Danio rerio: one gene and its partners. The protein of the gene in region 1 purifies or fractionates together with the protein of each later gene. This does not show direct contact. Links are inferred from orthologs where the notes say so. Each region holds a gene or a part of one and is shown in the gene's direction. Other genes may lie near its edges. The genes, in order: raf1b, dicer1 and cct5.

What was found.
Region 2: the proteins of raf1b (region 1) and dicer1 purify together in Homo sapiens (affinity purification with mass spectrometry; 3 studies listed by BioGRID and IntAct, with this or other methods). This does not show direct contact. The link is inferred for Danio rerio from reciprocal best matches to the Homo sapiens genes RAF1 and DICER1.
Region 3: the proteins of raf1b (region 1) and cct5 purify together in Homo sapiens (affinity purification with mass spectrometry; 3 studies listed by BioGRID and IntAct, with this or other methods). This does not show direct contact. The link is inferred for Danio rerio from reciprocal best matches to the Homo sapiens genes RAF1 and CCT5.

Annotation. Positions count from the first base shown.
Region 1 is NC_133186.1:568,849-572,507, forward strand, and holds part of raf1b (RAF proto-oncogene serine/threonine-protein kinase), read left to right. Parts: intron 1-639; coding exon 640-724; intron 725-1,265; coding exon 1,266-1,442; intron 1,443-3,659. UniProt on the Homo sapiens protein: Serine/threonine-protein kinase that acts as a regulatory link between the membrane-associated Ras GTPases and the MAPK/ERK cascade, and this critical regulatory link functions as a switch determining cell fate decisions including proliferation, differentiation, apoptosis, survival and oncogenic transformation.
Region 2 is NC_133192.1:20,754,462-20,758,720, reverse strand, and holds the start of dicer1 (endoribonuclease Dicer), read left to right. Parts: upstream 1-1,396; 5' UTR 1,397-1,693; intron 1,694-4,259. UniProt on the Homo sapiens protein: Double-stranded RNA (dsRNA) endoribonuclease playing a central role in short dsRNA-mediated post-transcriptional gene silencing.
Region 3 is NC_133199.1:20,777,716-20,780,462, forward strand, and holds part of cct5 (T-complex protein 1 subunit epsilon), read left to right. Parts: intron 1-288; coding exon 289-487; intron 488-571; coding exon 572-764; intron 765-848; coding exon 849-998; intron 999-1,978; coding exon 1,979-2,098; intron 2,099-2,747. UniProt on the Homo sapiens protein: Component of the chaperonin-containing T-complex (TRiC), a molecular chaperone complex that assists the folding of actin, tubulin and other proteins upon ATP hydrolysis.

The DNA of each region.
Region 1 (3,659 bases):
TTGTTGTATTGATGATTCAGATTAATTGCATATTCCCTGTCATGCATTTATAAATGTGCACGTGCAGTTGAAGTCAGAATTATTAACCCCCTGATGTTTTCACCAATATCTGTTTAACAGAGAAGTTTTCTCCAGCACATTTCTAATCATAATAGTGTTGATAACTCATCTCTAATATCTGATTTATGTTCTCTTTGTCATGATGACAGTAAATAATATTAGACTAGATATTCTTCAAGACACTAGTGTTCAGCTTAAAAGTGGCATTTAAAGGGTTAACAGAAACTAATATAGTTTAAAGGGGCTAATAATATTGACCTTAAAATGGTGTTTAAAAAATTAAAAACTGTTTTTATTCTATCCGAAATAAAACAAATAAGACTTTTTTTCAGAAGAACAAATATTATCAGACATACTGTGAACATTTCCTGAATCTGTTCAACATCATTTGGGAAATATTTAGAAAAGAAAAAGATTCAAAGGGGGCGAATAATTCTGACTTCAGCTGCATGTGCATGCATCTGCTGTACACTCTTATGCAGAGTGACCAGTGTTGTGCTGCTATGATATTTGAGCTTCAGGAAGTAGCTTTATAATGTAAAGCGGAGTATAAATAAATGCTGCTGGCTTTATTTTCAGGTGATGTTGCTGTGAAGATTTTAAAGGTCATCAATCCAACACCGGAGCAGTTGCAGGCCTTTCGCAATGAAGTGGCTGTTCTCAGGTAAACCAGCAGGAAAGGCCCAGATAAATCATTCAGTTCAGCTTTAGAGAAACTTTCAACAGGGTTCCTGCGGGATTTCTGCAATATGGACATTTAAAAGGTGTATTGCAGACACTGAAAGTCAGGGAATGTTGTATATTTCTTTGTCCACGTCGTGAAACATACGGGTTTTTGTTTGTCATTTTAAATCTTCCTTCCCATTCAAAAGAATTCGTGCTCATCTGACATCTGACTGCTCTCGCTGTTTATTTACTCTGTATTTAGCTGTTTGTCTGTATACTAGAACTGACCCGACTGCTCTCGCTATATTTAAATCTGCTTTCCACAATCTTTCCACCTATCTGTATTTGCATTTTAAATTATTGCATAAAACAATGTTTGATGGAAATACCAAGATGGCTAAAAATGTAAGCGATTCTCCAGCTTTGGCATAAATGTAATTGGTATGTTTGAATGGAAACACAGCTCGTGTTATTCTGTCAGAGCGGACAGTGGAGTTGTGGTCACACTGCTGAACTCTTGTCTTTATGTTTTCCCGCAGGAAGACCAGGCATGTTAATATCGTCTTGTTTATGGGCTACATGACGAAGGTGAAGCTGGCCATCGTGACGCAGTGGTGTGAGGGAAGCAGCCTCTACAAACACCTGCATGTGCAGGAGACAAACTTCCAGATGTTCCAGCTGATGGACATCGCCAGACAGACGGCTCAGGGCATGGAGTGAGTGTTGCACAGCGCCGGACTGCAGAAAACTGCCTCTAAACACACCTGAAGCAGCTCACCAACACTTTAAAGGGCCGCTGTTACACTGTTTTGAAAGTTCCTGATTTTGGTCAATGCAAGGTTTAGAAACACTCATCATGATTCAAAGATCCTGTCCAGTGTTTCCCAACCGTGTTCCTGAAGACACACCAGCAGTGCACAACCTCTTCCTATTCAAACAGTCCTGAATCATCTCATCAGGACATCAGAAGAACCTGAACTGAATGCTTCAGATAAGGGAGACATCTACAATGTGTACTGTGAGTGTGCCTCCAGGAACAGGGCTGGGAATCACTGCTCTGATTGGTTGGGCGGATGTTTGGTTGGATGACTGATTGGTTTGTTGACTATTTGCTTAGACTGGCCTGATGGATTTGCTTTGCTCTGATTGGTCAGATGACCTTATTGGTCGGATTGATCTATTCTGCTATGATTGGTCAATTGACTCTGCTTTTCTTTGATTGGTCAGATGGCTTTATTCTTTGATTGGTTTGTTGACTCTTTGCTCTGACTGGCCAGATGGTTTTGCTTTGCTCTGATTGACCAGAAGACCTCATTGGTTGGGTAGATCTACTCTGTTATGATTGGTCAATTGACTCTGCTTTTCTCTGATTGGTCGGATAGCTCTACTCTGCTCTGATTGGTCTGTTGACTCTTTGCTGTGACTGGCCAGATGGATTTGCTTTGCTCTAATTTATCAGACCACCCTGATTGGTTGGATGGCTCTACTCTGCTGTGATTGGTCAATTGATCTGCTTTTCTCTGATTGGTCGGATGGCTGTACTCTGCTCTGATTGGTTTGTTGACTCTGCTTTGAGTGGTCAGATGTATTTGCTTTGCTCTGATTGGTCAGATGATCTACTTCGCTGTCGTTGGTCAAATAGCTTTCGTTGGTTAGTTGTCTCTCCTCTGATTAGTCAGATGGCTAATGGTGCAGAGCAATAACAGTGATGGTAGTTTTCTTGAATTTAAAGGATTTGTGAGTGGACCAATGGAGACTGTGGGCTGACATTAAGTAAATATACTCAAACCTCCAAAGGTTTGTGCTGAAAATACAAGACTGGATTAATTAATGACTCATTTCAGGCTTTAGTTAGACAATAACTTTAACATTATCTGCGCTTGTTTACATCCACAAACATCTACATTACACTCTTCATCAAGTGTCCTGCATGAACATGCGCAGTAGTGGCCCTTTAAAGCAGGTTTGCCTAAAGCAGTGTGTGTCAAGCAGCCGGTTGCAGCCGTAAATGCTGTTATTTGTTAAATGCAAATTAAAACATGCAACTAAGCAAATAACCCAGCCTGGTCAGACCAGGGAAATGAACAGCCGGATCAACTTTCAAAACTAGCAGAAACGCTTCCTTCTCAGAGTTATTGCAGATGTCTAGACACGTCTGCTCTTATTAACAGTGTTTGATGGAAATTCTGTCATTTGCTGATGTACTCAGGTGGGCATTTTGTGTGTGTGTGTGTGTGTGTGTGTGTGTTTTGGGGGCTTTTCGGTGGTAAATAATTGGCTGGAATCATGAAAGTTTGAGCTTTTGAAAATGTGTTCAGTTTTCAATGATTTTTGGCATCTTTAGCAATTTGATGTGTAAAGCAAAGCACTAAAACCACCGATTAGCATTGAAATAAACACTACTGCTGTTAATAGTTTACAGCCAGTGCAGTGTATCTAGAAATGAATGCTTGCATGTGAGTGGTTGCCTTTGAAACTGTACAGCAATCTGATACTGATGAAAAGTTTACAGAGACCTTTACTGATTAGTGTAGTTCGATCTATATTTATCAAAAACATCCTCAAAAAATGAAACGTATCAGAGTTTTCTCCAAACAAATGAAGCATTTGCACATTGTTAATAGTCAGAAATGTTTCTTGATCCTCAGATAATCATATTAGAATCATAAGATCTGTTTTACTGGTGTAAAAATTCAGCTTTGAATCACAGAAATAAATGACATTTCACTACACATTCACATAGAACACAGTTATTGTAAAGGATAATAAAATTTCACTTTTTTGTTGTAATATTTATTGTATTTTTGACCAAATAAATGCAGCTTTGGAGAAAAAAAAAAGAAAAACATAAATTAAATAAAAAATATTATAATAAAGTAAATATTTAAATGAAATTAAGGAAATTATGTATGCATATATTCACAAACCTTCAC
Region 2 (4,259 bases), on another chromosome or scaffold:
GGAATTTTCTTTATAAACGTCAGAATGTTAAAAGACAAATCCTTTCTTATAGAGCATTAAAAGTAACCTAACCTGCCTAGATAACCTAATTAACCCAGTTAAACCTTTAAATGTCACTTTAAGCTGTAAGTGTCTTGAAAAATATCCAGTCAAATATCATGTACTGTCATCATGGCTAGATAAGATAAATCAGTTATTAGAAATGAGTTATTAAAATTATTATGTTTAGAAATGTGTTGAAAAAAATCTTCTCTCAGTTATATTATAAGTGAATATATTTTGAGTATTTCATCTTTATTGTTTTGAGACCCAGCGTTAAAATAAACCATGAATAAACAAACAATAAAAAGAAAACATAAGAAATAAAAAAATAAAACTCAAATAAAACACAAACTATAGGAACAAAGACTAACATATTCCGTTACAAACATGTCTGGGGTGAAATATGCATGAGAAAAGTTAAATAGGAAAAATTATTAAATTAGAAATTTAACTGGAATGACACAATATACACAGGCTACTTGTGAATATCAAACGAAAGACAGTACCAACAAACATTTAAAAATATCAACAGTCAGTGTTGGGGGTAATATATTACAAGTAATGCGATTTACGTAATAATATTATTTTTCCAAGTAACGAGTAAAGTAGTGCATTACTTGTTATAATATTTTATTTATTTTGAAAATGTAACACAAGTTACTTTTTATTGTAATTAATCAGCTTTAAAAATATTAAAATGCTGAATTAAAAGTGAAGTAGTCAAAATAAATTACACAATCAATGGGAGAATGCGTTCATTATTTTGAAAAGGAGACTGTCTTAACGGACAATGATACTTCAGAAAAATAGTACAAAAGTAGCAAACACATTGCTTTAAACTTTTGATAATCTGTATATACTGCATGCATAGCCCTGGCATAAGGAATTCTCAGAAAACATTATCCTAAAATATTTTTGATGTGTTTTTTAAAGGTAAATGTAGGTTTTACAGTGTGTTATTAATTACAGAGCTCCTCTATTTAAAAAAAAGATAGAAAAAAAAAGTTCTGAAAGAGATCAAGCCTCAGCCAGGTATTTAAAAGTTACGCAAAAATAACTCAGTAACGTAACACATTACTTAACTTACCATAAAAAATAACTAACGCAACTAGTTACTTTTGGGGAAATAACTCAATAATGTAATGCATTACGTTACTTAAAAGTAACTATCATCAAATTCTGCTATTTTAGTGTGAGTAAAAGCGCTACATTTTCTTCAAACATCCATACTGCCTACAAGTGCGACTTTTATTTTGAAGTAGCAGAATCTCTTTGGATTTGTTGTGTAGTTAGCAGTGCTCGCAGTTTCCGCGTTGTTTGCAGTAGCGGGCTTCACATGCGTGCAGTAGCCTGACAACAGCAGCAGCAGCAGGAGGGAATGGGGAGAGAGGGGCTCCGCACCGTTTAACAAGACACTCTTCAGCACAACACGACCATTAAAACAATTCACCATCGGTGAGCACTAGCCTCAATCTACAAGCACCTCCCGCGCTGATCGCTTATGTTTGTTTTTCCTCTCAGGATCTTGAAATAATCAATAAAATCAGCCGAAGCTAACACGAGCTCGCGTGCTAACCTCTGCCAGCCTAAAAACCGAACTGTCCGGTGTACATTTGGTTGGGAACTGTCCGTGCGTTCAACCTTTGACCGTGTAAATGCAATAACGTACGTGCTTCGTTACATGAGGGTTTTAAATGAGGTAAATCAATGTATGGTGTTTAATTCTTGCGTGACGATGCCTTTTTAGCTACACGCGTCTGCTAGCCTCAAACGTTAGAAGACTGATTCACATGGCAGGCGTATACTGAATATGAGCACAGTTTGAGATCTGGGGATGCACTTCATGTGTAATCAGAGATTAGCATTAGCGCAGAAGTCGCGTTAATGGTTGGCAAACTGACAGATGCATGATTTTTTTTGGAGGGGGGCTCGGGTGTGTTGCTGGCCAAGGCCAAGGTCGCGATGAGGCCTAACTGATTTGCATGATTAAAAATCTTTAGGGTATGGTGATATATTTAGATGCTTCTGTGATTGTTAAGGTGTTCATAGTGCCGTAAATATGTTGCTGGAGGGCATTGATTTTCATCTGCGTGGCATTTGTTTGTGTAAGAAGCATTATTGTTGTGTGTGGGGTACGTTAGTCTCGTATTGAAGTGTTTTCTTTTTATTTTAGAATCAAGTCAGTGTGGTATTAAAAGGGATAGTTCACCCTAAAAGGAAATTTATGTTGTTATTTGCTCATCCACTTTAGGTTTAGGACAAAACCTGTCCAACCCCAAAACAATTTACAAAGGAATGCTGAAAAAACTTAGTGAGGTGAAGTTGGTTTTGTATTCCTTCATTTTAATGGTTTCTGTATTGTTTGCCATGCTACTTTGAATATTCGATCTGAAATTGCATTTAAGTATGATTTTAAAACAACATTAGCACTATTTTATTGACGCATTTAAAGGGGATAGTTCACCCAAAAATGAAAATTATGTTGTCATTTGTTCATTTACATGTTCCAATCCAAATTCTTTAGTTGAACACAAACAAAGATACTAAAGAATGCTGAAATAACTTACTGAGGTAAAGTTGATTTTATATTCGTGCATTCGTTCATTTTAATTGTTCCTTTAATTGTTTACAACTCTATTTTGAATATTCGATCTGAAATTGCATTTAAGTGTGACTTTAAAACAACGTTAGCAATAGGGGTGTGCGATTTATTAAAATCGAATCGCAATTTGATAGAGGCTGCAATATAAAATGCATATGTAAACAAATAACATCTTCAAAACCAGTCCGCTATGCTTCAGAAGATTAAACATGCTAGCTAGACTTTCTGAGATGGTGTCATGAGGCATCACAAACATGGTATCGGTTAGAACTGCACGATTCTGGCTAAAATGAGAATCACATTTCTTTGCTTAAAATAAAGATCACGATTTTCTCACAATTTTGTAGATGTAAAATAAAGGTATGGTAAAAACAAACATATGGCACAACCTCAATAATAATATTATGTGTAGGTCTACTGGTTTATATAAATAATTCTATTCTATATTAATCTATTCTTATAATAATTCTTATGTTGAATGATTATGTTTGAGATATATGCTTGCAATCTGTCATATTAGACAATTTAATTCACTGGTAAAATCAGACATTTGCCATTATCAGATTTTATTAAAGAATATATAGGCTAGAGTAGTTATACTGACATTGTAAACATTTATTTTCATGCACAACTGTGAGTTCGCTATGAAAGAAAAAACATATCAAATGCTTGTCGTTATCATAACTCTAAAATGCGATATGATCATTAAATGAAGTGCACACTTTGTTTCATTTTGATTGCGAAGTGCTTGTTCATACTTTGCGCGCGGCTCCCAAACGATCACTCTGTGCCACAAACTGAATATTATTAAGAACTTTATTACCTGTTACTCGCAACATACGCAGGTTCTGTTGACTAAAGTAGACGCACCCCTCTCTGTGATAACAGCTTACGTCACGTATGATTTCCTGATCGTGAAAACATTATATTAAAACAAAAATAATATTTTTAGGTGAATAATACCTTATAAATACAGTATGTGACTCATTCAACATCATTTAGAGGTGTCAATGTCACTAAACAACGTTTGTGAAACGAGGAAAAGACTCGTGCAGCTTTTTCTTCTCTCCTGAACTTGAAAATATGATTGGCAGAATCGTAGAAATGCTGGATTAAGATCGTCTAGGGGGTTGAATCGAGATTGCGATCTATTAACGATTAATTGCGCAGCTATAGTATCGGTTGTCGTGAACTGCCACATTACACATGAAGAAACGATTAAATCTTGTGTCACGGCATCCATTTGATTGAGTTAAAGTTGGTTTTATATGCGCACATTCATTCAGTGACAATTTGTGACATGCTCCCTATATTGTTTACCATGATACTTTGAATATTCAGTCTGAAATCACGTTAGTGTGACTAACACAACATTAGCACTATTTATTTGTCTGTGAACACTGTTGTACTTTGATGGTCAATGGCTGCTAAAATGATTTCACTGTTTAGAGTTTGCGAAGAATACTTTTCTAAAGTTATATTATAAAGGAGAAAGTCTCATGTGTAAATCTAAAACCAACTTTACCTCAATGTCCATTTGTCGTTTACGACTTTCCACGACACCCTATGTCAAGAAAATTGTGCTGAAATTGTGTGATCTGATTGGGGCTTTATA
Region 3 (2,747 bases), on another chromosome or scaffold:
TCCATGCCTAATATTCGATGATCAGAAAGTAATACATTTTTTGTAAATTGTTAAATATTGGTGTTTGTGATGCAGCATGTCCAGAGACCGTTGTGTACACCGTGATTTCATATAAAATTCACTTTTATTTTCAATATGACTGAAAAAGTGGTCATAAACAAATATTTTGTCAATTCTAACGTGTAGTGGCTTGGACCCGGAAACATTTCATACGTCACGATTGACAAGCAGATTGAAGTCTTATTTTCTTGCTTATTGAGTTACTGTAATGTTTGTTTTGTCCTGTAGTTCTGGCCGGAGCTCTTCTGGAGCAGGCAGAGCAGCTGTTAGACCGAGGCATTCACCCCATCAGAATTGCAGATGGTTATGATCAGGCCGCAAAGATCGCCATCGAACAGCTCGACAAAATCGGTGATAGTTTCCCTGTGGATCCTAACAACACAGAATCTCTCGTTCAGACAGCCATGACCACACTAGGATCCAAAGTGTGAGTTTTTCTGTTACTACGTGTTTGATTTGACCAGATAATTACTGAGAATATTCATTATTAATATTTTTTCCTGGTTTATAGGATCAACCGGTGCCACAGACAGATGGCAGAGATTGCTGTCAATGCCATTCTGACAGTGGCAGACATGGAGAGGAAGGATGTGGACTTTGAGCTCATTAAAGTGGAAGGAAAGGTTGGTGGTAAACTAGAGGACACTCAGCTCATCAAAGGTGTCATTGTGGACAAAGAGTTCAGTCACCCTCAGATGCCCAAGGTTTGTGTTTAGTGTTAATGTTCATTTCATGCATGCTCTGGTTCTAATATTTTAGGTTATTTATTTATTAGTGCATTCTTCCAGGTGCTCAAAGACACCAAAATTGCCATCCTCACCTGCCCATTTGAGCCTCCCAAGCCCAAAACCAAGCATAAGCTTGATGTGACATCAGTGGAGGATTATAAAGCTCTGCAGAAGTACGAGAAGGACAAGTTTCAGGAAATGATCCGACAGGTTTGTATATTGCCTGCTTTTGTTTTGCGGTTCTTAAGGCTGATTTATACTTCTGCCTCAAACGCATGTGTATGCTCGGTGTTAACGCATAGCCCTGGCCGTCGGCGTCGCTGACGTGCGCCTCTCAAAAAATGTAACTACACGTCGCATCGACGCGTATCGCAAGCTTTGTGATTGGTCGGCTTGGTAAAGCTGACGAGTCTGGGCAGGACTGAGAGCCATGCGAGCGGCGCGAGCCCAGTGGAGCGATTGTTTACAAGTGTGGAGTCCCATGAAGGAGCTCCAGATGGAAAGTTGTTTTGTGTTTACCTCATAGTTAAAGTTGTTGCACGTCCGCCGGTTCCTGCCTCAAAATGAGTACAGCCACTTGTACATACAGGAAGTGTTCAGGAAAAGCAAAACTCCAGCGAAGAAACTTAAGACAGAGGAACATTAACACCTCACTGCCAACTAGCGTTTCGGAAGTGTTAATGCTGACCAACAGAGACAGCGCGCAGAAGTATAAATGCACGACTACGCACATTGCATGCGCCGTGGGTTACGCTGGTCACTTGACGCAGAAGTATAAACCAGGCTTTATGCAGATATATTGATTAAATTATTATTTTTTATTTTATATGGATGTAATTGTTTCATTCTTTATTACAAATTATTATTATTATTATTATTATTATTAAGGTCAAAGATGAAACGTGTTAAGCAATATATGTAAAAAAAAAAAATCTATACATTTAAATGTAACATTAATAAAGTGTGTTAAAGTGTATGGAAGTACTTTTTAAAAATGACAAATGCTAATTATTATTATTGTTATTATTTTGTTAATTTGCATAATAGCCTGCCTCAGTAAAGCATCAATCTTTAATTTTGAGCAATAAGAGCTATTTTAAAGCTACAGCACTTTTTTTTCATTACTTCAATTTTCTCAAGAAAAATGTTACTTAATCTTCTACTTTAATTTCTTTACAATTCATCTTAAGGTCAAGGAGAATGGCGCCAATCTTGCCATTTGCCAGTGGGGATTTGACGACGAGGCCAATCATTTACTCCTGCAGAATGAGCTTCCTGCGATCCGCTGGGTCGGTGGACCTGAGATTGAGGTTTGTAAGAACTAAACGCAATACACTACTGCTGGGGTTGGCATTTTAAAAATGTTTCTTGAAATAAGTGTCTTATTGTCAATACAGTATTTATTTGATCAGTAAATAATGTTATATTATGAAATATTATATCGTTTTTAAAATAAATAAATTTTAATGCATTTGAAAATCTTGTTTATTCCTGTGATGGCGGCTGATTTTAAGCAGGTATTACCGCAGTCTTTAGGGTAAAATAATGCTTCAGAAATCATTCTGTGACATTCAAGAAATTAGTTGTATGCTGTTTATTCATTTAAATTAATTCATTCATTGTTTTTACTAATATCAGCTAGTTCAGGTTGTCTGCAGGGTCCTAGAAAGTATTAAAAGTTGGATCCATTTAGAGAAATTTAAGGCTCTTAAAGTATTAAAAAATATTAATTTTACAAGGTATTACGTTTTGTAACAATATGCTAACGTTTGCATGAATTTAATAATTGAATATTGTGGTGTTGTGCAATTTTTTGGAAATCAATACAATCCTGCTAGATTTTACATCACTGCTTTCTTTATTGTAGTAACCAGGGAAACACTTATTCCTCTTGTTCTCTCGGCGCCACCTGCTGGATCAGCATTTTTATTCAGTATATGAATAATGTTTGTTTAGGAT